Linked DNA regions of Mytilus edulis. The main gene of each other region encodes a partner of the protein of the gene in region 2 in a complex. Links are inferred from orthologs where the notes say so. Each region holds a gene or a part of one and is shown on either strand. Other genes may lie near its edges. The genes, in order: dolichyl-diphosphooligosaccharide--protein glycosyltransferase subunit KCP2-like and oligosaccharyltransferase complex subunit ostc-B-like.

The links.
Region 1: oligosaccharyltransferase complex subunit ostc-B-like (region 2) and dolichyl-diphosphooligosaccharide--protein glycosyltransferase subunit KCP2-like share a complex: the UniProt entries of both Drosophila melanogaster proteins name them as parts of the oligosaccharyltransferase (OST) complex. The link is inferred for Mytilus edulis from reciprocal best matches to the Drosophila melanogaster genes CG9662 and CG31460.

Annotation. Positions count from the first base shown.
Region 1 is NC_092347.1:14,661,027-14,677,099, forward strand, and holds dolichyl-diphosphooligosaccharide--protein glycosyltransferase subunit KCP2-like, read left to right. Parts: upstream 1-7,824; 5' UTR 7,825-7,883; coding exon 7,884-7,887; intron 7,888-10,892; coding exon 10,893-11,047; intron 11,048-12,156; coding exon 12,157-12,220; intron 12,221-12,795; coding exon 12,796-12,862; intron 12,863-14,251; coding exon 14,252-14,366; 3' UTR 14,367-14,422; downstream 14,423-16,073. UniProt on the Drosophila melanogaster protein: Subunit of the oligosaccharyl transferase (OST) complex that catalyzes the initial transfer of a defined glycan (Glc(3)Man(9)GlcNAc(2) in eukaryotes) from the lipid carrier dolichol-pyrophosphate to an asparagine residue within an Asn-X-Ser/Thr consensus motif in nascent polypeptide chains, the first step in protein N-glycosylation.
Region 2 is NC_092345.1:45,471,655-45,487,232, forward strand, and holds oligosaccharyltransferase complex subunit ostc-B-like, read right to left. Parts: upstream 7,657-15,578; 5' UTR 7,608-7,656; coding exon 7,469-7,607; intron 6,605-7,468; coding exon 6,531-6,604; intron 5,862-6,530; coding exon 5,644-5,861; intron 4,836-5,643; coding exon 4,817-4,835; 3' UTR 4,653-4,816; downstream 1-4,652. Other genes in the region: ZZ-type zinc finger-containing protein 3-like, read left to right, coding at 577-677, 1,379-1,529. UniProt on the Drosophila melanogaster protein: Subunit of the oligosaccharyl transferase (OST) complex that catalyzes the initial transfer of a defined glycan (Glc(3)Man(9)GlcNAc(2) in eukaryotes) from the lipid carrier dolichol-pyrophosphate to an asparagine residue within an Asn-X-Ser/Thr consensus motif in nascent polypeptide chains, the first step in protein N-glycosylation.

The DNA.
Region 1 (16,073 bases), on a different chromosome or scaffold from region 2:
CATTGGTACATGTACAAAGAATGAAATAATGATACTTAGTATACACAATAAATTGTGCGCATGACAAAATTAAGATAGGAATGTTGCAATTACTATTTATATAAATATATATATATATACAAAAATTTATTATAGAGCAGACTGAGAGTTGACAAAGGCTAACCAGGAAGACCTGCTACTGAATTTATAACCTTTATAAATTTGCATATATTTTTAAACTTATTTCTATGTGTTGTTTATAATAATTTACAAAATCTAATTATATTAAACCTGTTACAATAACAATTATCCAAAAAACAGTTTTCTGACATAATTTTGCGACTGAATCTTCTTATCTAGAGCGTAAAACACTCACAGATTGATTTGACTTCTTAAACTGGCCGTTAATTAATACCAGTGTCCACATGCGTGATTTATGACAACTTTTCGATGGGTGTGTAAATATAGACACCTGTGTGTTTTTTTTGCTGTTTCTTTGCTAAAGCTATATTTGGGATATCTCTTTATTCATTCTAGAATACAGTACTCACAATAACATTTCTTTTTTTTTAAACGGAATGACGTATTTCCTTCCCCTCTTACGGTATTTTCAAGGGAAATCGATAATTTGTTTACCCCCCTTTTTTCCTGGCCAGGAAATATGAATAAATAAATAATCATTAATAAAATTCTATTTTATTTTCATAAGATCTACTTTGCAACAGAATCTGGGACTTATACATTTCTCTCAAAGCCCAGACATACAGTTATATATGTTTATTTTTGTTTCAATTACGATGTACGTACATGTATGAGGCTATGAATAGTGTCTTAAAGATAAATGTTTTAAACAAGGAGGCTTTTTTGATAAAAAAAAAAAAAATATATATGAAACAAAAATACTTATCTTACCTATTACGTTATCACTATGAGTACGGTTTAAGTCTATATGATGTATTTCCATCTGACCACGGGTGGTTATCTCGCGACGAACGGTGAAAACTTATGTTTGTGATTATTGTTATTCACTATCTTCTACTGTAAATCTCAAAGTTCATTTGGGAGCAACGAGATATCCAATGTTATTTATAGCCTAACATGGGTTATCAACGTTATCTTTAGCAATTAGATTGGTTGTCGACAATGGGAGGCTCGCAATGGTACTTGAATGATATCTCGCTAGAAAGGTTTAACACCGGACGTTTCAATTTTGCCAATGTTTTATATAAAGATGCTCCTGTTGTTACTTTACGCGTAAACAAATAATTATTAACCGTTAAGTATACTGATTAGATTTGTAAATCCAAATTACAAAGACGTTAATTTCACAAAAAGAAAGACACTGCAGAATGATTAAAAACACTGGAACAAAACAAGCCAATAAATTCGTTCATCATAAAAGCAAAAATATTTTATACGGATGCCATGAATAATCAAAAAAAAAAAATTCTTAAGAGGCTTTTGAAGGATATTAATCCCATAACAAAACAGGGAATTGACATTTTAACAAATGAATGACAAGTCCTTCCAATTATATAAACTTTTAACACTGGTTAACACAAATATATGTCTCGCCTTTTTGATATTTTGATAGTAAATTGCAAATTTTGAAATTAAAATAGCATAATTTAACATCAGTGTAAGTTGTGTTGTGCAAATGATTCCGAGTCAATGAACCATGAATGAAGGTAAAGGGCCAATAAATCTTCATGGAAATGAGATGTACCATATACAATTACAGCATTTGTATGAAGTCTATTCAAGGTAATATCGACATGGACTCGAGCATATGGACTAAGGAGGAGGTCCGAGATCGATAAGTTTCTCTATGTCGATATCATCTCGTATTGATCTCAACAAAAGGCTACAGCTATTATTAATCAACGACTATTCAGTGCATAAACAATGTTATATTTGTGATTTCTAGAAGGATTTTTTATAGTTAAAATTGGGAATGGAAATGGGGAATGTGTCACAGAGACAACAACTCGATCATAGAGCATACAACAGCCGAAGGCAACCAATGGGTCTTCAATGCAGCGAGAAACTCCAGCACCCGGAGGTGTCCTTCTGAAGGCGTTACATGATGTATGCTCTGTGAAATAGTCTGTTTTTTATCTATGAAAAGCTATAAACACAACAGTATTGGAATCCAAACTGAGTTAAAAAAAATATGTATATTTTACATGTGATCAAGGCAGTTTAACGAATCCCGCCAAATCCTTAAAAGTATTCGATTAATAATACATGCTTTAAAGTGAGAATATCATCCCAAATCCCCACACACATTTTGAATCTGAGAAAATCAATAATATGCCAAATCCCAAATAAAAGATGATGATAAATTTTCGCTATCACAAATGATAAAATCTTAAAAGGTCTAAAAATATCTTCACAATACTAAGTCAAAGTTAACTGAAGTTCATTAAAACATACCTGTCAACTGACCCGTATTCTGCGGGTGTGACCCGAGATTTTCACAATTCTGAGGGATCACCCGGATCACCCGCCAGGTCATTGAAAAACCCGGGAATTCCGAAAATGACCCGATTTCACCCGTATTTCTTAGCCTTGAGATTGATTTCATAAGTACACGGCCGACACTCGGCTAACCGAGAGATTGGTCGGTTAATCTATATTGAGTATGCGGCTATATCGGCAGTGGGTCTGTTAATCGGGTTGGCTATACGTCTGTTAAGAGTAAAACGCACAATTTAATGTTAAACTCGATCAAATATACAGATTTTTGGCATATTATAAGAATTAAATCAAAAAAAGAAAAGTGTCTGACAAAATGATATCTATCAAAGAACATTTTCCACCTTTAAAAACATTTCATAGTCTGCGCAGTTTTTAGTAAAAGTAAAAGGCGTCGCGCAAGTATGTAGTATTTATGATTACACGCATAGCAATTTTTTAATAAAAGGCGAAATAAACAATTTTAGATATCATTTAAAAGACACAAAATACTACTTTGGTTCTTAAATATAAATTGACATTAGTAAATATTTCATAATTGTAATATAACGTGAGTAATACCACGTTTTAGTGAAAATTATGTGAATAAAGTCTGTTAATGGGTTGGACAATTGAAATTGTGTCAGTTAAGAGTTATTTAGCCACGAAAATAGTTGTGCTACCTTTATATTTTCCCATTGAAAATGTTAAAAATGAGTTGTTCTTGAGTAAAAAAAAATATTGTAAGGGTTCCGCGGAACCCAGTGTCTCGCCTACTTTTGCTGTAAATCGCAGGCTCAACAAAAATGAGGAATGAAATCAATAAAAATATTCCTCTTGATACTATCTTATGATTGTAAGAAGCTTCTGTCCAAGTTTAGTAAAAATTTAGGATAGTGAATGAATCTAATAAATGTTTTGAAAACTTTAACTGCAGACTGTATGTAATGTTAACTGGAAGAAAATCTAAGTCCATTTAAAAGTAAAATACAGAATAAATGGAGTTATCTTTTTACAATATTTACTTCTGGATACTATTTTATGATCATAAATAAGCTTATGTCCAAGTTTGGTACAAACCCAGGATAGTTTAAGAAAGTTATTAAATTTTTAAAAACTTTAACCACAGAGTGAATGTAATGTTTCCCCGCAGAAAAACTAAGTCCATTTAAAAGTAAAATACGGAAAAAAATGGATTTACTTAATTACAAAAATTACTTCTCGATACTATCTTATGATCATAAACAAACTTCTGTCCATGTTTGGTACAAACTAAGGATAGTTTAAGAAAGTTATTAAAACTTTAAAAAGTTTAACCACAGAGTGAATGTAATGTTTCCCCGCAGAACAAACTAAGTCCATGATTTATAAGTAAAATACGGAAAAAATGGAATTTTATTTTTACAAAATTTACTTCTGGATACTATCTTAATATGATCATAAACAAGCTTCTGTCCAAGGTTGTTAGAAATCCAGTATAGTTCAAGAAAGTTATTAAAATTTCAAAAACTTTAACCACAGAGTGAATATTTGTGGACGCCGCCGACGACGACGACACCGACGACGACGGAATGTAGGATCGCTTAGTCTCGCTTTTTCGACTAAAGTCGAAGGCTCGACAAAAAAATAATATTACGATGCAACACTATCCTTCCAGTAAAAGCATTTGTATTTTGACTTTCTTTGCATTTTACTCAAGAGTGTGTCACTTCAATATAGCGTGATCTGGGTTGGTCGCTGGAATATGCATGAATTTATTATTAACGATTTCAATCAGCCTTAATTTTTGTGTCTGCTCAAAGTAGCATGTTCTCAAATCCGATTGAACGTGTCTTTCTAATACAACACAGGGTACATATATAACGTGTTGTCGTTTTCATATGCACATGACATTTGTCACTGGACGTTTAGGTGGTACCCAACACTACAGGGAGATAACTCTGTAAAGTAAGTGATACGTTTTAATTGCGTTGTGTTGTAAAGGGAATAATAAGCTTCTCGAAGATCAAAATTGGTGTTTGTCAAACTGCTATATAACCAGTTAATTTTAATGACAAAACGGTTGGTTCAAATTTTTTGAAATTTTTATATTTCTGTTAAAGATTCAAATTAAATACTTTGTCAAAATTTTATCCAAATTAAACGAACCACATTGATTTTAGTGAAAGTGTTCGGTACCACCTTAATCCTAATCCCTCAGCATCATCCAATTGGTTTTTCATCTGTTGTTTACAAATCATTCTAAAGAAGTAAATGGAAAGGAGCGAATGTAGATACATTTGGTTGTATTAAAATTTAATTCATTTTATTCCGTCTAGTTCCTTTTCTACATATGTGCAGAGGAGAACTGCAGGTGTCCACATGTAAACGTCAAGCATTTGTCACCAATATGAGTACATCGCAATCCGTTACTGTTTCAACACCCAGAGGGGTTTCATGTCTTTATTCTTAAACAATTTGTTTTCTTCTCTTTTTTAGCAATGCATCACTCTCTACTGTCCTTATCTTTTATTTTGTATTCTGTATCTCCATCCAGATTCTCGTGTATACCATGAGGGTACGGATTGGGGGGGTGTTGTTTATTTCTGTATTCTTTAAATGGTTATGTTACTTTTCTCTACATTTTATTTATCTTACCCCTCATTCTTTCTCTATTCTTTATATTTAGGCATCCCAATATACTGATGTTTAGTTACATTACGACGTTAATCTCTGATTTATATACTGGTTACCAAGGTAGATGACAAATTGGTGTCATTCATGACAATTAAACAGAATCCACATGATATATGCGACCATTCTCGGATAAAATCAATTTTACTTTAGGGAACTACCATTTGATTTTTATGGGGAGGCTAGGATGAAATTTGAAAAAAATAGGCAGGAAAGGAGTTTTGAGTAAAAAAAAAGGCAGGATGAGACACTTGCAAAAAAAAAAAAGTCAGGACGACAATTTAGGTAAAAAAAAGTCAGGATAAACTAAAAAAAAAAGGCAGGACCGAACAGAGTGAAAAATAAAAAGGCAGGACAGAGATTACAGCTAAAAAAAAAATGCAGGACAAAATTTTTCATCCTAGCCCCCCCATAAAAATCAAATGGTAGCTCCCTTAATTTAACACTTTTTGAAACCATTTTTATCAATTTTCAATATCCATTGCCTACATTGTTATTGTTCATGTGTTTTGTTCCGTATATTTTATATTCCATTGCTCATGTTTTGTTTCCGTATATATTTTATGTTCCATTGCTCAAGTGTTGTTTCCGTATATTTTAGCCGCTCGTCTTGAGCCTACCAAATGAACACACCATAAAGTAATAAAATTATACTTTTATTGTCATTCATAACACTTAACAGACTAATTAACAGACCGGGTTTTATACATCCGACCCATTAACAGACCAGGTTTTTAATAAAGATTGATTTATGTCACCAAAATACAGATTTTCGTGTAGATTTTTCACAAAATGATATCAATTTGGTTAACACTCATAATGCCTGTCTTTTTTCGATGTTCAAAATAGTGCATGCAAGTAAATTCAACCCAAGTGTCATTTTGTGTACATTTGGTGTGTGTAAAATGTGTATAAATTTACTGATGAGTAATTTGCCTTTTCATTTTATAGATCGTACATAGAAGCTAGAAAAATAATAATTACACCACTGGATTCAGTACATTGAATAGTTTTGTCAGACATAAATATTTTTTATGATAAACATATATTTAAAAGGTTATACAATGAAACATTCTGAGTTTTCAATGATTTTCTCGATAACACCTGATTAACAGACTTTAGCCAACCCGATTAACAGACCCACTGTCGATATAGCCGCATACTCAATATAGATTAACCGACCAATCTCTCGGTTAGCCGAGTGTCGGCCGTGAAGTAATATTCCTTTGAAATACCGGCAAATTCGTAATTCTTCCATGAACAGGAAGTTCATCTAGCTATGTAAACTGTCAAATTAAGTGGCCCATTAAGTGCATGGCCTCACTTGACAGCTTTGGTGTCAAACACACTGTTAATTAACACCAATTACCTTAGCTTTAGGTCGTAAATAAATTGCCCCATTGGTTTACAAACTGAACTAGAGTTACTTCCCCTTATTTGTCACCATTCAAAATTATTCCTTATATTTACGTTTTATGGGTGAAAAAGATTAAATCATAAAAATATAAAATTCAAATACATATTGAAAAATAACTTTTCATTATTTTTATACCTTTATACAATTTTTTTTTTAAAAAGTTGAAAATTATTTTTTATATTTATACTTCCTTTAACTGTATTACTTTATTTTATCATAGTCTAATTTCCTTCTTATATATATAAAACCGACCGTGCAAGGGCTGTATAGCCAGTCAAGGTCGTTAAAAACTTCCATTTGTTGTTGTATATATAAAACCGACCGTGCTAAGGCTGTATACTTCCTTTAACTGTATTATATAGCCAGTCAAGGTCGTTAAAAACTTTGCAAGGGCTGTATAGCCAGTCAAGGTCGTTAAAACTTCCATTTGTTGTATATATGTAAAATATTATGGATAAAGGCTACATAGTCAATAGTCTCAAACATATAAGAATTATATGTACATTAAATTCTAGTGTTTGATGATTGTAGTATTTTTTCTCTAAAAGTAAAGCATATAAGACTGAGTTACACTAATTTATAAAAATCTTTAAAAGTGCAATGAAACAATATTTAATAAGATTTAAAATGACTTATCTTAGTTTATGTACAGGAATAGTTCCTAACTATATAAGAGTTTGCTAAAATTTATGTAAAATTTAAGTTGGTAATCTAGATGGCGCCCTTCCCCCCTCAGTAAGTAGGTCTGCTTCATTCGATTTTGATCATTTTAAAATTTAACAATTTATGACATATTTCAATTTTAATCACTGTGTCAAAGTAATTTGAAAAATTAAACAACGGTAATTTATATTTTTTCATAACGTACAAATTATAGAATAGAATATAATAGAATATTTTTATTGACCAAATTAGGGCCCCAGGACGGCTTAAAGCATACAAACAATATTATTATTAACAATAACATATGCAATTCACAGACAAATTATAAATACAACAGCAGTTTGAATTTAGACAAAAACGAGCCGACAAAACATTCTTGTCATACAGCACTCATTAAAAAATTTAAAGCAATATTAACATGGTTTGAAGAACTGGAGAATGGTAATTTTACTGATATTTAGATTTTAAAAAGTCGTTTGATACAGAATATATAAGATATAAATTAATAAGGTCTAATAATAACACAAGTTTCTTTTTTCAAAGCTAAAATTGTACAAATATTTTAAAATACGCACCCTTTTGTCCATTCCGGGATTGTACGACATTTCCTTTAGCCAAGAAAAGATAACTCTGTTATCGACAAGCCGGCCACGCAAGCAATTTACTATTTCATTGCAAAAGTTGGAAAGGGAAAATGGGTAAACATTAAAACAGTTAATACTTTGCAAATTATAACAGTTATATCTGATAAGACGTTGACTGTGGTCTAGGTTTTCGCTGCATGCGGATTAATCTACATCATTCATGTACATGTACCTGGGTAGATGAATCGTACTCTGTTTTAGTAACTTTTACCTGCGGAACCGTAACTCTTATGGTCATATTTTTTATTTTACGGACCACAAATACATATGTAGTAAAATAATAACATAAGGACCTATAAGAGCTACGGTTCCGCAGCTAACTCTGTCTCTGAGACTTCTGCCAAAAAAAATTTCTGGTTCAATTTTACAAATGTCAATTCTTAATTAAAAATTTTGGCTCAATTGGTTAGAGTGCTGCTTTTAGATTCAGAGATCAAGGGTTCGAATATTATTCCCCTGGTACCATCCATGGATTTACATAACAAATTTGGTGCTGCAACGTCTACTACTTCTACACACAAGTGTATATAAATGCCTCTGTACCTCGAATGACTGAATTACACTGTTTTAAATATCTGAATAACACTTGTAAAGACAGAATGTTACCCGAAATGCCTGACAGTTTGATATGGTCATGAGATTGACCAGGTCATAGAATGACTGTGACATGTAAAGGTGACACAACAACTGTCCAGAGGGTTTCCGAGTGGAAGACTCGGGGTTGTACAGTGAGCTGCTGGACCTGCTCGGATGGATGGTAGGGGTCCCAATAAAAGAAAAGGGGGAAAAGTGTTGAAGACCTGGAGATCCTATATGCAGGGATCTCCATGGCCTGTTTAACGATGGCGCCCCGCCATCGTTCAAATGTCTTGCGCCATCGTCAAATGACTCGCCCCATCGTTAAATTGTCCTGCGCCATCGTTAAATTGTCTTCCGCCATCGTTCAAAACTTCATCATTTTTGTAGCCCGACGCCATTTTTTTTTATCAATTATAATCAAATGCATGTAATTGCATAACCCTTAGGCTTTTTATGTTATAATCCAACACAGTTCTAACACCTGAGGGATATCCGGATTAAGATCGCTATAATCACTTGTACCTGAGCTTGTACAGGTAGATCAACAAACCAGACAGGAGAATACTATCTGAGGATAGACGATCCATTTGTCGAATTAATCAGCTAAGTTCAGCAAATGATTATGATAATTTAGATTAAATAAATAAATTAATAATCCAGTTACAAAGAAAACAGTTTAACAAGTCGAACACGTGCTTTATTTTGACTTACGCAATCAGCATCCCCCTTTTTTAAGAAGTACAGAATAAGACGCAAAACAGTAAATATTATTTCATCACAAATAACTCGAGTACTGCTGTAACAATAATTTAGAATGACTTTAAAAGTTTAAAAGTAAAAACTTATAAATATTTCCTGTAAAGAAATATCGTATCGTAAATCCGAATTCATTTCGTATATTACAATCAAATTGATACATCCGCGTTTCCGGTTTCTATTCAGACTCGAAAGATGCATGTTGCACAGCATCAATTTGTCAGATAAAGTCATTAAAAACCTTTTCATTTGCTTTACAAATCTCTTTAACCTTTTACATAACCCGTACGAATCGTTTTGTTGTTGCTGCAAATCAGCCATACCGGTAATGGGTTCTGAATTTGACAGTGTCCACGAAAAATAAGCTCCACATCATATGATTTTTAACCCCCATAACAATTACCAAAAATACAAGAAATCTACATGGGGACCTTCATGACACCTTTGGTCATTCTCAACTAAGGGGGGACTATGAAGACTTGGCATTTGAATGGTTAAAAACGGCAATAAATGAACATATTGATACTTCTAATTCTATAATGAAAATTCAAATAAATATAATTTAAATAAGCAATGAATTAGCATGTTCACCATTCCTTGTATGGAGGGATAAAATACTTCTGATCGCGCTACACTGTACAGCGTAGACATGGTTTGTAATGGTAAAAGTTCCTCCATGGTTCAATTTTCATCCATGGAGATCCCTGTATATGGTTGAGTTAATGTTCATGATGTCAGGGAAGATCTTTTCTGGCTCATCTAGTTAGAGCCCTGCCTTTAGCAATGTTTAGATCCCGAGATTGAGGGTTTAATTCAAGATGGTACCATCCATGTACAAATGTATTTTCACAAGTCCCCTTGAATATATTGTATTCTTCCCAAATATTTGTTTTTCTGTTTTTAGCATACATAAAATTTGTTCTTTATGTTTACATGTCAGGTTTGTCATATATTTTTGCATACACCATGTACACTATATATATATTCATGGTATCAGGTTAGCTGTGAAAATGTACGTGTAGCTCTATTGTCCTTTAAATTATTTTTTTTGCCACATTTGTCTATGGTCCGCAAATATCAAAATCATCAAAAGGACCTTAAGAGCTATGTTTTCGCAGCTAGGTATCATGCTCAGACCTAATACACTTTTGCACCCTACATGTTCGCACCTCAAATACATTGATTGTATTCAGTATTATTGTTGTGTGTTTGAAAATCATGATTGTTGTTTTAACTTGCTTTGATGTACATGTATATACTGCATGTATTTATCATGTTTATTACTGTATTTAGCTTGGTTACTATTAAAACATTGACGATTTTAAATAAAAAACATGAAAGATAATTGTTTTTAACAGGTTGGCCCCTTTGATCTCACTTTATTTTGAAACAATGAAAAAACAACCAAATCCTAATTTAAGATTGATTCTGAATATTCAGTACAAAAAGGGTGCATACACACGTTGGGTGCAAAATGTAGGGTGCGAAAGTGAAAGCAGGAGACTGTGTTTTTGGGCAAACGAGCCCCGATTCTATATATCCATTAACCAGCAAAAAAGACATTATTTAAAAGTTGAAAAGTATTTATTATGAATTTTGTTATGTATCTTTTAACAAAATACAAAGATTTGAAAATCCCACGTTATATACATGTTTATAATTTTTGTGCTGTGTGATATTACAGAAATACACACTCCATGAATTTTTTATTTTTTTTATTTCAGGGTTATCACCAGTTATTTCGAGTGTGATTTCTCTGACACTTGGTATGTCAATGTTTGCTGTAATGCAGATGTTCAAACAACAGTTGGCAGCTACAGAATATATGACAATACTAGGAGGTTTACTTGGTAGTATGGTGTTCATGTTTGTCTTGACTGTATCCTTTCCTGTCTTTGCCTGTTTACTGAAAAGCAATTTATAAAGAAATATTCAATAGCTAGGTGGGACGGCAGCTGTCAAACAGTGTTCGTGCAATAACTTAAAAACGCTTTGAGAAAATCTTTCAAAATAAATTATGTTGTTTCCTGTGACTACATGAAGGTCAAGTTCGAATTTCATAATTGAAGCTTTTATTATTGATGAGTTATAGCCCTTTAAGTAGCATAAAGTGATATATTTAATACCCCTACGTAGCAGACGGGGCATTAAGTTTTATCCTTGTCCGTCTGTACAATGCTGTACATGAACATGTACATGTACTTTGCACATCTGTCCTTATGAGAAGTTATGTCCCAAAATTGATTTCTGTTTTCTCAACTTTAGTTTGCCTCAACCAAATGTTATGAAACTTATAAAGTTTGAAATACAGTGGCATCACTTTTACCTTTCTATGGTTATGCTCCTTTACACAAGTAAAAATTGCTGAATTTGTTGTTTCTATTTTCTAACTAAAGGTGCCTCATCCAAATATTATGAACATGTACACAATACTTATTACCACAAAATCTGATCCTGTGCAAATTTTGCAGCATCCCTTTTACTGTTCTTTAGTTATATCCCTTTTTAACTTTATAGACAAATGGGGCCATCATTGGACACATTCCTTATTTATTTGTACTTGGAGCATTGTTGGTGCAATAACTTATAAATAAAAAACTTTGACGAAATCAAATTTATATTAGATATGTTGCATTGTTTGTTTCTTGTGACTAAAAGAAGGTCAAACTTTGAATATCATGATTTTAGCTTTTATTGTTTTTTTGTTATAGATCTTTCATGTAGAGCAACATGATACCTAAAGTGTTTTCCAAGCAATAACTTGCATGACTTGAAATGATTTGGATGAAAATCTTTTTTTACTTGATTCTGCTTTGAGATCCAGATTTTCCAAATTCATTTTCATGTGGGAAAATCTGGTTTGCTGAATCTGACAGCCCATCATATCCATTGTTCATTTGGAAATGATTTCATTGTTTGGATGGGAATATAATTACAAAGATAAAGGATCACAAAACATGCACATATTTTCCTTAACACTTATTTCAGGGTGTCAGTAATCTTGAAACTTCATTATTTGGAAGTGGATTCCAAACTAAACTTCTACCAGAAGGTAAGTCTTTAATTTTACATAAATTATGAATTGAGAGTGGTTTTATATGTGTTATTTTGCAAGTATATTTTGAAAAGTAAACATTCTTGAATTGCCTATTTAATAGAAATTTATATAAAAAATATACTTTTATTGTTAATTTGTGATGTATACAATTCATGGAGTTCATACAGTTACATACATGACATATATACATAATTTAATTGAAGTTTGAATACATTTTGTACTTTGAAGAGAAATATACATATGATAAATGCTCTAATAATGTGTGTATTCATCATTTATGTTTTTTATATGAATTAGTGTTTTTGCTTGTTGATGTTGATTGATTGTGGTTTGTATTTTATCATCCAGTGCCTAAAAATGCCTGGATATTCAGATTAAGAACACATAAACAATTCAAAAGATAGATTCTGCATGCACACGAATAGATATAGGGCAGTACATTTTAACTGTAACTGTTAAATAGGGATACTTGTATACATGTAAGTTGGAAGATAACAGAAATTTTTCTTTACAAATTCTATAGATTTTATTCATGTTTTTACTGACTATGACACATTATTTATTTTTAGTTGCCTTTTGTTTAGCCATGGCCATGTTTGCCTCTGGTCTCATACACAGAGTTTGTGTAACAACTTGGTAAGCATAATAGTTATTGTCATTTATCATAATAATACAGTTTTTAGGCATGGATGACTATATCATTAAAGCTTTGACAATCTAATTTTTGATTTAAAGAGAATGTCTAAATCATATACTTTTTATCTTTGGATATTTTACTGAATGTACATGCAGTCTTATATAAAAACATTTAGGCCACACCAATTTAATTTCTTGTTCTACGGATTTTTGGACTGCAAAAATTGACGCGAGCGAGCGATTTGAAAATTTTAATAAAAAATTGAATTTGCAAAGGAGTAGGTTTAATAACCCCCTTTTTGGCCCCAAAATATAGCAGTTTTACAAAAGTATGAAAATGTAATCTTTTAGCTATTTACTGGAAAGTGGAATGCTTCTGCTACATAAATATGGGCTGTTTTCGACAATACAATGCACATATATCAGGTACTAGCATCATTAAGTCATGCTAAATTACTATCTTCACAATTTGAGCATTTAAGTAAAATTTTAGACAGTTTCCATCTAAAATGAAAGTATTGGCCGCATTCGTGTTCATTCATAATATTGAAATGTAACTTGTATTTGATGATAATACATAACATATATAAAGGTTGAGGATAAAATAGTAGGTTGTGACAATATTAAAACTTTTATCACTTATACTTTGACATTTCTTTAATTTATGAAGTATTTTTTCCCTGTTCACCAAGAAATAATTGAATAAATAAATCTGGTCTATGTATGTGTGACTGACAATGAGACAATTCTCTATCCAAGTCATAATCAGGTTGGGAACAACCCCTTAATGTTATAAATATCCCTTTTATGAGGGGTCAATATAAGTTATAATATATTTTTTTGTAAAAAACACTTTTCATATTTTCCTAAAGAACTATATATATATCTGGTATTAAATGGTCAAAACATAAATTGGTTTCTACACAGTGTAATGGGGTGCTTATAGGTTTAAAATCGTTATATACAGGTTAGACTGTGATTTTAAAAACAAATGTTGATATCTTTTTATAATATTTACAAAAAATACGTGCGGGAAATGAACATGATTACATTCAGGATGCGGGAAGCAGGAATATAAAAAAAAAAAATCTGTTTTGAAAAAAATAGGTGCGGGCGGGTCCGTTGAACAAAGAATTAAATTGTTGTGGCCTTATCATAAGAAAAAAGAAAAAATGAGTTTGTGAGTTTCTCAGTATTGGTTAAAGTTCTAAAAGCAATTATAATTTTTGAAAACAAATATGCTCTTTTCAGTAAAACTCTGGATGGATTCCAGTATGGCAGAATACTATGATAACTTTAGACAGTGTATCAAGATATATCAGACACTCTTGTAAAACTTATTAAATATATCTTGAAGAAAAACTTATACAATTCCATTTTTCATTTCAGTTTTATATTTTCACTGGTGGCTTTATATTATATCAATAAGATATCTCAGAAAGTGCATGCTCCTGTAGCTGTGCAGTCAACAGGGAAATCTACTCCAGGAAAGAAGAAGCGTTAGAGGGATCTACAACGACCATCTTTTGTATTAGATAATTATAAAATTGTTTTAGAAAATTTCATGAATTTTTCGTTGTTCAGTGCAAGCCTTCACTATGGATAACCTGATAAGGTTAAGTTTTGTGTGTTTGTTGTTATTTTCATTTCTGTCCAATGTGTAACTTTTTTTTCTAGAAATTCTTGTACATGTTCAAAACATTTAATCAAATTTAAACTAAAATTGGTCTTGATTAATCCTAGGGTGTGCAATTAAACTAAGTTTTTCAAAAGGAAAAATCTGGTTGTAAAAATGGTGAATATTGACATCGAATGCCAACAGTTTCCATGCAATAACTTGTGACCTCTTCAACTAATGCTATACATTATAATATGGTGTTACTGATGTCCTGCCATTATAAAAAAATTGAGATCAAGTTCAATATTGATGATTTGTACTTGTACTGTTCTTCAGGAGTTTTGGTTCTTAATTAGTTGAAAATGGCACTGATGTTGTCTTTCACTTTTGTCAATCAGGAGTTATGTCCTTGATAGATTAAAAAATGGCACTCTAAGTGGTTTCCATGCAATTACTCATGAACAGTTCAACCAATGCTTTTAACATTTTGATAGGCTGTTACTGTTGACAAAACGGTGGTCAAGTTCGATATTAATGAATTTTATTTTTGCAGTTGTAGTTCCTGAAAGATTGGAATATAGGCACGTATAAATTAGAATGTGGCAGGTCAAAAAACCATCCAGAAAACACAATGTTCATGCCTTGTTATGATACATCTAGCAAAGCTGCTGATTAACAAACATGGTCCCCAAATAGATAGAACCTACTACATTTTAAAAATACAGAGTGTTTCTCAGTAATTTCATAAGGGAATAATCAATGATATTTGGTATGAGGATTTTTTGTAAAATTATTTTGTTTCGGTTGACATGTTATATGTCAATTTCTTGATTCTGCTGTCCAGAATTAATTTGAAGACAATAAGAATAAACAAAGACAACTTTATTTATACATGTACCTTCAATGAGACAGCAACCCAGTGACAAAATATATAAGATCGTTGTATATACCATGTGTCAAACTTCATCACCCTGAGGCAATGATAATGTGAAAAATCAAAGATCTGCAATCAATACCAAATTTTCAAAAAAATCAAAAAGGTGCATCAGCAATAGAGTAATTGAAGTATTATAAAAATTGAAAATGTAACTATGTTCATTGACTCAGTCATTGTAATTATGTCATTAGGAACTATGAGACCCAAATATGATGGAATTAGTCCTTTGATGATTCCATTACACAAGTTGTCATCAAAGTTTAATGTTGACTGTCAACTAAACACTTGGTATGTCTGCCTTAACTACACATAGCTTTCAACTAGACAATATACATTGTACCTGCCTTTTATACAAATACTTACTTTCAATAGATACTTAATACATGTTTTTCTGCATATACACTTATTGATAAAAATGCAATTAATTTGTATACTTTTACTATAAAGACTAGATATTGAAAGATTTTCATATTAAAAAAAAGATTTTAGCTTATTTTACGTATATAACGTGTAGACCAATACTGTGTCTTGACCTGCACAGCTGTCTGAAGCATAATTGGCCATTGCATGCTAAATATGCACCAACGTCAGATCTGAATGAAGACATTTCATTTGTTGCCTTGTGTAAGGACATATCCACACTCTATATTTGTAAA
Region 2 (15,578 bases):
TTATTATTATTGTATTTACATTCCAACAGTATAAAACATTTTGTTGTTTTCATAATTGTAAATATTTATAGATTATTTTGCATATATTAATTTCTAAGGAAAAAAACATTAATGCAGTCTTTGTTTAGATATGTAATTTATTTTCTTGTTCACAGGACAATTATCATTACCCCTGCATCTTGGTTGTTGTTGAATGAATTGGTTGTACTGTTAAATTTGTGGAAATCTCAAGATTATGTTAAATTTTATTTTTCAAGATTTATTCAATATGAAGGCAAACTGAATTTGTCTTTATAATATGATTACAGCTATTGAAGGATGAATCATTCAGCATTTGCTGTAAAAATACACCACTGAGATTTTTCTGTATGTTTTGTAACTTGCCATGGGAAAAAAGAATTATTTCATATGGTTTTACATTCGAATCTCATTTTGTCGAACTCCAATGAGTAGAAGTAATTTTTCAGGCCTGGTATACTCTAGTTTGGTCAATGCATAATACTGAAGCCAATAAAACCACATATTTACCTGTAAAATATCATTTTAGCCAGTTGTTCTTTCCTTTTATTCTTTTAGTGTGACAAATGTGAAGTTGAACCCATACCAGATACCCGATGGCATTGTCTTGATTGTCCTATAGGAGAGGAGGTAGATTTCTGTGAAGATTGTGTCGACAGGTAACTACTTGTGAAAATAGTTCAGTAAAAATGTCTATGAATAGCAAGATAAATAAAAAATGAAATTTTAACAAAATAGGGTTTCTAGCAAGCAAGGAAATGAGTTTTCTTCAGGTTATAGTTTTAATGTAAAAATGAGCAATACATATTTGTTTTCATTGTGTTTATATTTAAATGTGGTTCAACTCAGGTTCATGTTGAAATTGGGTTACTTGATAAATATAGAAACAAGGAAGTCACAGATATAATTTGATATATTGGTGTCGCTGCCTAACCAGACTGTCACTTAGGGGCATAATATTTTTAGGTCTGTGCATCTGTTCATTCCACCATCCTGCTTCATGTTAAAGTTTTTGGTCAAGGATTTATTGATGAAGTAGAAGTCCAATCAACTTGAATCTTAGTACACATGTTCCTCATGATATGATCTTTTTAATTTTAATGCCTAAGTAGTTTTTTGACTCCAATATCACAGTCCACTGAGCACAGAAAATGATAGCTTGAGTGGGGCACCAACTACTAATGACACATTCTTGTTAATTACATGTATAGCTTTTTGTTTATAACTTAAATTTTTTTAGCATTATTTACCCTTATTCAGTCAAACTTCAACTACAGTTTGGTATAATACAAAGTTTTAACTTTGTTGTTCTATCATTTTTTGTAACGTTTACATTAAATATTTATTTGTTTCATTGCAGCAATTTTGAAACAGGGAAACATAATTCTAGTCATAGACTGAAACCAATCAGACTTCCCAGCAAAGACACATGTGTAAAAGACAGAGACTATATGACATTCATGCCAGGAGATTATAACTATCTAGATCCTAATTATATGCCTGCAACCTAAACCATCTTGTCTTATTTGTCTGCATATAAACAAGCTTAACCAGTATGTTGTTTAGTAATTCACGCAAATTTATTCTTTCCACAACCAAATGTTATGAAACTTGTACACAAGGCGTATAACGATCAAAAGCAGATCAAATTCAAATTTGGGTGGCGTAACTTGTATGTACCAAGTCAGGAATATGATAGTTGTTATCCATTTGTTTGATGTATTTGAGCTTTTGATTTTCGATTGGGAAGGTACTTTATGTTTTGAATTTTCCTCAAAGTTTGTTATTTTGTTATTTTACTTTTTAACACTCTTCTGGAAATAAGCCATCACAGTTTGTTATTGGACAATTAGAGCATTCAAACACCCAAGCAATCTCTAATGACAGCATATAGGAAAAGTTTAATTTAGTTTCCAAGAAAACACACGACGACCAAACAACAAGAGTGCACACACTGAAATGTCTCGCCTTCTTTACTAACCATTGATTTTATGATGATAGTCCCAAATATAAAGCTTTACTACAACTATCATATAAACTTAACATGATCCAAGAAAATGATGCCAAGGTCAGATAAACCAAACTGGAAATACATGTTACTAAACAGTAACACCTTACAACAAATATGTTTTAAATGTAGTTGACCTTTTGCACATATAAGAATGATTACATGGTTTAATATAGTTGACCTATTTTATATAATATCTTAAGGCCAAATAAAATAGTATGTGTGGTTCCAGTTACATCTGAAAAAAAAGTTAGGGTATGTAGGTAGGGATTTTTTTTTAATTTTATGTTTTTTATTTACCTTGAGGCTATGGGAGCAATATTTTGACTTTAACAGTGCTTAATGAAAAATGACCAAAAAATCTTTTAGGGTAGGCTAATATTAAGACTAAAAGTAGGGTATGTAGGGTACTTCGAACCACACATATATTTTTATATGGCCAAAGAAACAAACATTGCCAGGAAATATTTACTATTGAACCATAAAAATGAGGTCATGGTCAGATGACAATTGCCCAACAGCCATACATCTTACAATCATTTTAAAATACACCAAATAAAGTTGACCTTGATTGCTTAAAGTATTATAGTAACAAACCAAAACACAAAAACTCACCATTGAGCAATTAAATATTAAAATGATGTCAAGGTCAAATTAAACATGCCAGACTGACATGAACAGCATAAAATATTTTCTTGCACCAAATATAGTTGAACTTTTGCATACAATTATAGAAAAACAGACCGAAACACAAAAAAACTTCACTTAAACCACAGAACCATGGAAATGAGGTCACTATCAGATGACATCTACCAGTTTGACCTTACAATCATTCCACACACCAAATATAGTAGAGGTATTGCTTATAGTTCTCAAATATTAACTTGACCATGAGAACTTAACCTTGTTCACTGATCAATGGAATGAAGTAGAGGTCAAGTGAAAACTGTCTGACGGTTATGAGAACCATGCAAGGTACACATCAAATATAGATATCCTATTACTCAAAATCTTCACCTTTTTCCAAGTTGTCACTGACCCATGAAAATGAGGCCAAGGAAAATGGACATATGACAGACAGAAACTTCATAATATAAGGCATCAATATACTAAGTATGAGGATCCAGGTCTTTTATCATGGTGCCACATGTAGAGCAGATTTGACTTCCTCTTCTGGAGCACCTGAGATTACCCCCCATTTTTGTGGGATACATATTTTGAGACAAATAAATACTCACTAAGGGTTTATGATACATCTTTCAGTGCACATCTTAAAATTGTTGCAAAAAATGGGATGTTTGGAGGACATTCTATTGTAATCAGAAGCAAATATAATGGAAATAGAAACACATGCAAGTATTAATAAATACTATTGTGTCAAATATTACTTTTAAGAAATACAATAACTGTCATAACTGGAAAGACCAACCAGAAAAAAATCTAAACCTAACAATGAGTCTACTTTCACCAATTCTAACAGCAATGAGTTTGATCCAAGCATTCCAGAGTTATATGATTTAACAGTGATATTGTTTGCCTTAAATTAAGGGAGAATAAAGGCTTTTACCCCTGGAGAAGAATCCCAATTTGAAAAAAAAATGGCTTAAAATTACTCACAAAAAGACAACTTTTTTCCAAAACAGTGCAATCTCAGTAGTAATTGTGCATGAATACAAACTGAAAAACACTCATTTAAAAATTTTTTCATGCCTCAAATGACTATATGTGCAGATTTGAGGGTATATTTATGTATCATACTGACAAAATGGGGTCTTATTTTAAAGCAGGGTTTGACTCTTAAAATGGGTCTGTAAATTGAAGTTTCAGTCAAATTCATGGTTTACTTTATTCCCAATTTGATGAAAATGACGCATATTTTCCCAATAAAAAAGGGTAGAGGTAGTTTTGAAAAAAGCCAACAATATCATCATTAGTGCGACATTTAGGGAAATAATTTTATTTTATATAACAGTCAAAGTCCCATAACTCTAGAAAAACATATATTGCAGAATTAAAAAAAATCCAACAGTGGGTAAATTCATCCATTTCAACAATTATGTGAAATGTCCAGCAAACTCCAGAAATGGAAAGGGGAACCCAAAAATTAAATTAAGGCATTCCAAGATTATCATACAGTCTTTAACAGTTTTAAAACGTGTAAGCTTATGTCAAGTCTAACTTTAATCAATCACAAGTCCTCAACACTATAAACATATTTTTCATCATTTTACTCTCCATGACACAGAATTGCTTTTACTTAATAGACCATTTTTATATTACAAATTTTTGAACCCAGAATTTATAATTCATCAACAGGTTACCTTCTCTGGTGTGTGACATTTTGGTGCTAGGCCAAGATTGAGCAACTAAAACAAGTAAAAGCAAAGCTTACAATCAGGAAATTCTTGTGGAAAATTAACTGATTATGTTTTCTATAAAGTGCAAAAGCAATTTGATTATGCAACATGCTGAAATCTTTTAAACTCCAGAGTTGAAAGTCAGTAATAAGAAAATGGTCTATATTCACCTGAGAATCACTATAAGTGAAGAGATGTTTTGTATTGTAGGTTCTCATAAAGAATTCCAACGATTAACAAACCATGATATTATATCTAATAAATCTAAATTCTTTTAAGTTTTTATTATACTAAACTAACAAATATCACAAATACTTTTTAATTTGGATACAAAATAATCATTTTTTTTCTTTAAAATGTCACATGATCAACTGTTTCTGCATAGTCAACAAATGTATCAAGGCTGATGGAATGCACATGGAATCTCTAGATCTTATGCCTGTAAGTAACCACTGAAATTAGAAATAAAAGACAAAGTTATCAAATGTGATGATGTAACATACAAAAGAAGGAGATGTGGGCAATGGGCATAGGATACCATGACCCCTTCAGACAAGACCCTTTCCATGTTCAGTTTACCATAAAATATGGTTAAAAACTATTTTGGCATATATATATATTTTTTGATAGTTTACAACATTATGATCACATCTACTAAGTTTCAAATTGATGTGACCTAACTTCATAATAAACTACATTAAACCAAAACTTAAAACCTAATACAGACCTAACAGACACACAAAATGAACACAGATAAGTAAAAGATAACAAATTTTTCAAATCTTCTAGCTTTTTTAATCACCTGAAATTACTATAGTTGAAGGTGGGTGCTTTGTCTTTGTTTTTTTTTTTGTGTGTTTTGTGGACTTTTATATAAACAAGAAGATGCAATATATGATCGGCAATGAAATAACTATCCACCAGAGTTCAAATGAACTTGTTTATTTGCTATTGATGAAAGTTTTGTAGTACAAGTATTCAAATCTATGTTGTACATGCTGGATCATGATTCTTATATATTTGATCATTTTTCATAATTTTCTTTCGATTTCTTTTCTGCTCAATATCTTGCCTAATGAAATAAATGCAAAAGGGTACATATGAATCTGAAAAAAATTCTCATAAATTTTTATTTCAGAAAGAAATTCTACATATTCTTTTATTCCAACAGTATTCCAGCAAACATTTGTGCATGATTGTTTGTTACATAATAGATGAATAAAATAATCATGATAAGCCATAAATATATATCATACTTACGGTAATTTCATTCTCATGAAAACTCTTGACATGAAAAATGATATTAATATTGCTGCAAATCCAATGGATAAAAGAAGGATTCTATTTAATCTAGGCATACTTGGTTTATTAGTTTGGTCTAATACAACATAACCTAGTCCTCCTAAAGTAAATAAAAAGGCAGAAGCTAATCCTTCCATTATATACTGTCCATTTACTCTGTGTGGCATGAATGCTACCTAAAAAAGAATATGTGAAACTTTCGTTAGACATTTAATATTTGACTGCCATTAATATAATTTTTGCTATGGTATTTTGCTTCTTTTTTTTTTTATAGTTTTGTTGAAGTTCTTGTTCACGATGTGCATTTAATTAAGGGTTCTAAAGATGCTTTTACAGAATCTCATTGTTATACAAAATCCATACCACTCATGAACATGATGAAATATATAAGAAATGTCATATATTTATTCAAAATCTTAATTATTGTTTATTTATTTTGTATTATTAAGAGCTTCTTGTCATTTTTTATGTATGTTATATGGACAATGGCAGGAATATGTATATGATTCATTCAAATACCTGTATGTACAAGAACTGAAAGTGTGCAATTATACATGTAATATCACTGATGTCCAAACAGACATTGGCAAATCTAAGTTTATGGTATCTTCTTTTATTATTGTATAAATGGAATTATTCCACTGTATGTTTTTGATTGGTTGAGACTATCCGACATTGAACTCTAACTTCATATTCACCTCTGAACATCAGGGCTACCTCATGTGACCTAAAAATTGATTTATGTAATGTTTCAAAGCTTTCACATACATATAGTGATACTATTGGTACTACAAATATCATGTTTCAACAGCCAATGTACATCAATGTAGATAGGCTAAACTTACGGGTTTAGAGTTGCCTCTTTCATCAGTTGTTGACCCAATGCTTGGTGGTTCCACAATCACATCATAGATTATACCTGAAAAAAATAAATCATTAATATTTGTATACAAATGAGAGTGATGAACATTTTATGTAAAAACAAATGCACAATCATTTCTTACTTTAATACCCCTATTTCTTTAGATATATGCATGTACATTCACAGTACTGCAATCTGTCCTTACACTAAATCCATTGAATGTGTACCACTACTGATTGATATTTGAGTCTTATACATGCATTAGTTTTTATTTGTTTCGGTCCTATTAGTTCAGCCTTAAATAAATTGTCTTTATGTTGTACTTTTACACCCCTGTCCCAGTTAGGAGAGTAGTGTTGGGAGTATCTTTGTGACGAATAACCATCAAAATTCTTGCCCAAAGACATTAACAGTTATTTTTGTTGCTTCACGATGAAATGTACACTTTCTTTTCGAAGATAAAAAAATTGACTGATTTTGAAGAATCATGCCTATTTTTTTTTGTAACAACAGTAACGATAATTATTTGAGACCTCTTACAAATTATGATAAGGTCAAGGATATTTCGAGGAATCACCGTATAATTTTAACCAATTTGACGCGGACTGTAGCATAAATAACCATGACACATGAGTAACAGGTAAAGGGCAACGATACCCTCAGTTAGGAGAGAGTTTGATGAAAGCAAGCATGTTTTACCCTGCCGCATTCTTTATGGGCCTGTGATGTCCATAGTCACGATCTGCAAATTACTAATACAATATCAGTTTTGCTCATTGTTGAAGGCCATACATTGACATATAGTTGTTAATGTCTATATCATGGGGCCACTTGTGGAGAGTTGTCTCGTTGACAATCATAACATTCTATTTTTTTAATTTATTTTGAAGTTTCAGTCAAAAAATATTTTAACATTTATACCTCCTGTTACAAGGAAATAAGACACAAGGACAAAAGCAAACATAGTCATTGCTGATGGTTGTCGAAGCCATGTTGGACGCTTCAATTTCAGGTTTGGACAAACCAATAATTGGTAAGGTAGAGCGTAGACTGCTTCCATGCTTTTTCGTTTGTTGATGTGGCAAACAAACCGGAAGTATACAAATGCCGGCTTTCGGTTATGAATAAAAGAAGGAAAACAAATTGAAAATTGAAAAGACCGGTACAATTCTGTCCTGTTGGACTGTCAAATTCTAGAACCTATCCGACAAAAATATTTTCACCAGATCGATGAAATATTACATTTAATATCGAAAGACAACCTTAGAACACTTTCCAGTCATGATAAAATCCAAATAATTCTGGACTGTACGTTGCACTATACTGGACTAAAAGGAAATAGTGAAAATATTGTTAAATTAGATGCAATATGCAGGCAAATGTCGTATGCGTTACATATAGCAAGATACCGATCTTTAGATATTAAAAGGAAATGAGGATATTTCATTGTTATGAACTGATAACATGTTCCGAACATCGGTACTCCCGTATTTATACTGTTGTTGTGCCGAGAGCATACCTGTCAAATAGTGAACTGTATATACTCGTATAATATGGAAATTAAACATTGCTAATTCAGTGATGCGTGGAAGATAATATGAAACATTGATATCTCCGTACTCAAGTGTATTATATAATTACCGATAATGTGTGTAAAATAGTGTACATAGATGTGGTGGTGGCCGGAATATTGACTACTCAAATGAGGTTGTCCCGAAGTGGACGGAGAAAGATTTCCTGGTAAGGTAAGGTACAATGTAAAACAAACTTATTTAGTTTAAACATTATTATTTATAGTGGATTGGGAAACAAGTTTTGCAAATTATATTTATCCCTTTCCACTTTGCGGGTGCGAGTGTTGCCTTGTAGCGGCATTAGCCTGCTCTTTTTCGAATTCTACAAGGGTGTCTTTAACGTGCAAGAGATATATGGCTCTCTCTTAACACGGGTCAGCCATTTATCGTCCCCTTCCGACGGACTGCAATCGTTTCCTCAAGACCATACTCGCAAATGGTGTCAAGGGAGAGCCGAAAACTCAGTCCCTGAAATTTTCATCCCAGACAGGAATCGAACCAGGAACCTTTGTCTTTGTGTTCGTAGACATTAGTAAGCAGTTATATATGTATCAAGAAGAGACTATCTTTTGGAAATTTAAAGGGTGGTGCAGAAATATTAAAAGAGAAGTTCAAGAATGTTTATGTCAACTCTGTTTTTTTTTTTTCTCAAATAGAACGAATTATGAAGAACATTTCTTGAGTCAACATGATCAAGTTTAAAAACACAAAACACGAAAAATGAGACTCGAATTTTAAAGATAGTTTTTAAAAAATCGATCCAATTATATATTTAACAGGATGATAATTCATAAAACCACCCCTTTTCAATAAGCTGGCAATCTGCGGCCGTTAGCTTTTTCAAAAGTTATCAAGTTGATCTTATCGTTTTATCATGAAGTAAATATGGTTCAATTTCATAACTCTTTTTAACTTTACTGTATGATTTATTATTTTCTGGTCAATATTTGTTTAAAGAAATTTTTTTCTAGACTTTCTTGTATAATCACTTTTAATGCGTCTATGAATTCATTTCAAGTTGTATTTTTTTCAGTTTTATGAAGTTAAAATTTCTATCTTTGATAATTACATATACATATACATACTTTTTATGAATTTGACTGGAGACAAAAATATGTCAAGAATAATTTCATGTTTCGTCCAATTTGTGCAATATATGCATCATATGAGCTGCGTCGGCTAAATGAAAAGTAACACATCTGTTTACCTATTTTAGGTTGAAAAAATCTATTCTATACGGAAAGTATGTTATATATGAACTGTTTGAACATTTATTTTGTATAAGAACCCTACAAACAGAATACAATTCATCTTTTATTTCGTTGTACAAAATCAAACTCGTATTCATGTACACGTATACTGTCGTGTTCTTGTATAAGGTCCATTTATAAGATTCTCAAATATAAGAATAAAAGAAGGGATAACTTCAATGTTATATATTTTCCTGTATATTTTAGTGCTTGCACTTTTGATCCTGTACAGTTAAATGGATGTCGTTGTTTTATGTCCAATGGATGTCGTTGTTTTATGTCCGTCATATTTGTTTTTAGTGAACTGTTTTGTTATAAATTATTTCGTTAGTTTTCTCTGTTGAATTGGTTCACTTTTCAAGTTGGGACCTTTTATGGCCGACTATACGGTATGGGGTTTTTCATTGATGATGGCCGTACGGTGGCCTTCAATTGTTTTCAGTCTACATCAATTGGAACGTTGGTTGATAGATCTTGATAGTTGTCAGTCTTCTTGCCGGCAATCACGCAAAATCTTTTTATTTTCATATTAGTTCATTATAAAAACTAAGGGTCCGTTTACCTTTCACACAATATTCTCAGCTTCCACCACAGGGTCCGTTGGTAGAAAGCACAGCCCTGTGTAATAAGTTGTTACATACTAATATTTCCAGATGCTACCTAGTCTGATCCTTTTCATTAATTTAATTAGGAGGTAAACATTTTAGTTCTATAATGACCCTTTCGATACGAATTGACAACCATAATGGCATTATTTGAACATTGTACATAGCCATTCCAAATACTAGTAGCCGGTGGAAAGGCTTTGTCGTAAATCGACTTCCGCCGTTGATTTTTTTTTTCATAATCTACATTTGATCTAATGGACCGAATGATACTAAGCGTTTGCTAAAACTTTACAAATGTATAAAATTGAGAATAGAACTGGGAAATATGTCAAAGACAATAACCCGACGAAAGAGCAGAAAACAGCCAAAGGTCACCAACGAGTCTTTAACACATCGAGAAAATCCCGCACCCGGAGGCGTGTATGTTTTCCAGATAACAGAAGTGGCGGATCAAGGATTTTTGAAAAGAAGAGGGCGTCATTCTATAAAACTATGCATGTAAAAAATATTTTGAGACTATCATATGCTAAAAAAAATATATCTTTCTCAATTAAAGAATTACACCCTCTTCGCCCAATCACCCATCCTCTGAATCCAGCGCTTCACTACAACCCCACCCCCTCAATGGTGTATTAAATGGAGTTGTTGTATCACTGTATATGTTAATTGAAAAATATCACGTTAAATGCTTTTTTTCTAGTATATTTAAATAGTGTAACTGGAGGAATAGAATTGAGAAAGGAAATGGGGAATGTGTCAAAGCGACAACAACCCGACCATAGAGCAGACAACAGCCGAAGGCCACCAATGGGTCTTCAATGTAACGAGAATTCCCGCACACGTAGGTGTCCTTCAGCTGGCCCCTAAAAATATGTATACTAGTACAGTGATAATGGACGTCATACTAAACTCCGAATTATATGTACAAGAAACTAAAATTAAAAAATTTAGAATGTTCACATCGTCAACTGAAATTAAGAGAAATATTTACATATTATTTGCGAAACATGACGAAAGAAGCCTTAATTAGGGATGATTTCAGTTTACATATTATGTCTTAAAACTTCTATTTTAAGTATAACAAACTACCAGTAAGTAGCACCTGAAGTTTGGCCGGTATACAAAGATATTCCAGGAGTTTCATTTCATATCAGGATTTTCTTTGTCATATATATATAAGGATTTGATTTTATTTTTGGTGTTTTAACACTATTTTAAAGCTCCGCATTTTAGGCTATTTCATGGCAGCCAGTGTTTATTGGCGGAGGAAGCCGGAGTGCCCGCAGAAAACCACCGACCTTCGATAGGAAAACTGGCAATTTTAGTCATTCAAGATTGGAGTAGAGTGCACCAGCACGAGTGGGGTTCGAACTCACAATCTCAGTGTTGATACACTAGTGATTACAGTAGTAGCTACTTAGACCACTCGGCCACCGAGGCTCCTCATATATATAATAAGGATGTTGCTTTTAAGAAAGGTACTATATTGAATCGGGATAATCTACTAGAAAGCGCTAAAGTCGGTAACAATGTTCATGGTTGTACTTGTTGTTGTATTATATTTAAAAATAACTTTCGATAGAAATAACACTTCATTACTAGAAGTAGTACTTTTTTTAGAGATAGTGATTTCGAGATTTTAATTATATGAATTCTGGACTTCCCGTACTATAATTTAACGAGGCGACAGCTTTTCCGTGTATGCAGTTACAGCCTTTACCGAAACATCTTTCATAAACAAAGGTAACGTGAAAGATCTATAGTTACTTCTGGTATTACCCGACCATGAAAGAAAAAGAAATAGCACCAAGCCATTATAAAAATGTTGTCACAAACAGTTTACAAAAAAGAACGCAAGAAGATAAAAACTACCCAAATAGGTATCTCTATCATCTCACTTAATATTTTTTCACGTGGTCTATCCTTTCGTGTTGATTGTTCAAAGTTAAGATTCATGTGGACTCTTTGGCTAAAATGGCCGTATTTACACCTCAAAATTTACTCTGAGTACAGACATACCTGTGCATCTGGAAAAAGTTTTAAGGCAAAGCATGCCCTAGATAATTAAATTTCAAATATGTTTTATGTTTTAGAAAAATAAAAAACTTAGCAGGATTTTGCAGTGCACTTTTTTCATTCCTCTCAAAGGTGCCAAAATAAACTAAGTTGGGAAAGAGATTTGAGAACTTCCCCACAGGTAATAATTGAAGTCAGCTGTATTGATTGACAATGGAAAATTGATTGACAATAGATACCTGACAATAATTTGTGATTTAAGTGTCGGTTAGTCGCATAGCTTTTGCTATATGAATTCATTGGTTAAAGCTATTTATTCATATTTATAGGTATATGCTATGAAAATTAGAGCGCGGGGTATATTCCGTGATGTAAACACGCCAATGTTTTTTCAATTTTTTATAATGAACCGTGAGGGGAATAACACATACTTTTTTTTTATGTTATCCTATTCCGCAGTAAATGAAAAACAAAATATTTACGTACTTAATATAATAAAGAAGATGTGGCATGATTGCCAATGAGACTAAATTTATTTAACAGATACAATTTAATATTTTAGTCTTCATTATCTACACCATTTCGACACAGACACAGTCTGCCCAAGCAATTACAGCATCTGTTGTTTCTTCGCAAGTTGAAATAATTTGATTTTCGGGTAAAAGATGTCCAAATGTCCCGTTGTCTAGCAACAAAACTTCGAACGGAAACTTTATTCCTGCTGCTTTTGCATAATCTGACGAAATACCACCTAATGTAGCTCTCTGTGAAGTTTGTCTCAATTATACACAACTCCATGACGAGCTGCCGCGGCTAATGCTGCGGTTTTAGCACATTTATCTAGGGTCGATTTATCAGGTACCGGATCTGTCGTAAATCCCCAAGGGTATATCCACAGTTGTATACTTAGATAACCAATAAAAGCCTTTTTGTCGAGCCTTCGACTTAGGGTGCTGGTGCTATAAACAGTTTCGTACTAAAAACTAGGGGTATTTCCCCAGTGAGATTTACATACTGATGGAATTCCCTGCTATTTATATACCACTAAATGAAAAAGTTGATTGTTTTTTATGTTCAATATGAAAAACATATATTGAAGTTCAATTAAAATGCCACTTTTGTCAACTTCGATTTTAAAAAAAAAATGTTTTTGTGACTTCCTACTATATGGGAGGCAACTCCATAAACAGCTGATTTTCACCTGTTGCAAAAAGCACTTTGATTTGTCAGGTAAGATAGCTCCTTTCGGAGCAGGCGAACGTAGGCTGAAACTACATTTTCTTAAATCAGCCGGATAAGCTCTTCGAAATGCATATTATAAGAAATCTCAAATATATGCACAGGTTACTGATCCGTGTGTCCAAAGGTGGTCTGTTTTTAAGGTTTTTTAGGGGGAAAATGCCTAATTTCCAGCTGATAACTTGTACCAATTTGCATGTTTAAACAAGAGATGTTGGATTTTTTTTTATTTATTCAGAAAGTTCATAGAATTATCTTTCCATTGATGTATAGATATCTATATAACTATGAACATCTGACTTCTGCATGATGGGTCCACTATTACATGCCCTGTTACAGAATGACGTCACGTAAAAAACTGTTGATTGCACCCTTAAGTCGAAAAAGCGAGACAAGCGATCCTACATTCCGTCGTCGTCGTCGTCGTCATCGGCGGCGTCCACAAATATTCACTCTGTGGTTAAAGTTTTTAAAACTTTCTTAAACCATACTGGATTTCAACCAAACTTGGACAGAAGCTTGTTTATGATCATTAGATAGTATCCAGAAGTAAATTTTGTGAAAATAAAATTCCATTTTTTCCGTATTTTACTTATAAATGGACTTAGTTTTTCTGCGGGAAAACATAACATTCACTCTGTGGTTAAAGTTTTTAAAATTTTAATAACTTTCTTAAACTATCCTGGATTTCTACCAAACTTGGACAGAAGCTTGTTTATGATAATAAGATAGTATCCAGAAGTAAATTTTGTAAAACGATAAATCCATTTTTTCCGTATTTTACTTTAAATGGACTTAGATTTGCCAGGAAACAACACATTCACTCTGTGGTTAAATTTTTAGAAATTTTGATATTTTTCTTATACTATTTTTAATTTGTACCAAACTTGGACAGAAGCTTGTTTATGATCAAAAGCTATAGTATCTAGAAGGACATTTTGTGAATATTTTGTACTTGTGTAACTGTATTTTACTTATAAATGGACTTAGTTTTTCTTCCAGTTAACAGTTTTTAAAACATTTATTAGATTCATAAGCTATCCTGGATTTTTTCCAAAGTTGGACAGAAGCTTCTTACAATCAAAAGATAGTATCAAGCGGAATATTTTTATTGATTTTTTTCCTCATTTTTGTTGAGCCTGCAATTAACAGCAATAGTAGTCGAGACACTGGGTTCCGCGGAACCCTCACAAATTTTTTAAAATTTGTCTGCTCTCTGCCTGACTTTCTAGTTCACTGAAAGGGGCCGGACCTGGATACAGCTCATTGCATGGATTGCTACTAGAACCGCCGTTTTCCGGATTCCAACCAATTCCATAATTTCTATTCAAGTCAGTGCCTATGCATGTTTCATTAAAAGGATTTCTGTTTTTTCTCCAAAGACGCTCAAATTATTGGCATATACATAACCATCTGGATTTAAGACCGGTATTAAGTACCAGTCGAATTGTTTGACAAGGTAAAATCCTGCTTGGGTAGTTTTTAGGAAATTGAGAAAGTACAAAACAAATGCATGTGAAATAAAATCCCGAGGATGAATTCCACCATCAACTAGAATAGCTTTTTTCGATTTTCCCTTACAACTCCCACATTGCGTCTTCTGCCTTGTAACCATCTTCACCATGTTTATTTCAAATGTTTCTCTTCTCGAATGTTTTACCGATGATCTCAACGTTAGACGTAACCTTGCCTTGGTAATTCGAATTAAAAGTTGTCAAGTATTTTTAGCTCACCTGGCCGAAAGGCCAAGTGAGCTTTTCTCATCACTTGGCGTACGGCGTCCGTCGTCCGTCGTCCGTCGTCGTCGTCCTGCGTTAACTTTTACAAAAATCTTCTCCTCTGAAACTACTGGGCCAAATTTAACCAAACTTGGCCACAATCATCATTGGGGTATCTAGTTACATAAATGTGTCCGGTGACCCGGCCAACCAACCAAGATGGCCGCCATGGCTAAAAATAGAACATAGGGGGTAAAATGCAGTTTTTGGCTTATAACTCAAAAACCAAAGCATTTAGAGCAAATCTGACATGAGGTAAAATTGTTCATCAGGTCAACATCTATCTGCCCTGAAATTTTCAGATGAATCGGACATTTCGTTGTTGGGTTGCTGCCCCTGAAATTGTAATTTTAAGGAAATTTTGCTGTTTTTGGTTATTTATATCTTGAATATTATTATAGATAGAGATAAACTGTAAACAGCAATAATGTTCAGCAAAGTAAGATCTACAAATAAGTCAACATGACCAAAATGGTCAGTTTACCAATTTAGGAGTTATTGCCCTTTATAGTCAATTTTTAACCAATTTTCGTAAATTTTCGTAATCGTTTAGAAAAATCTTCTCG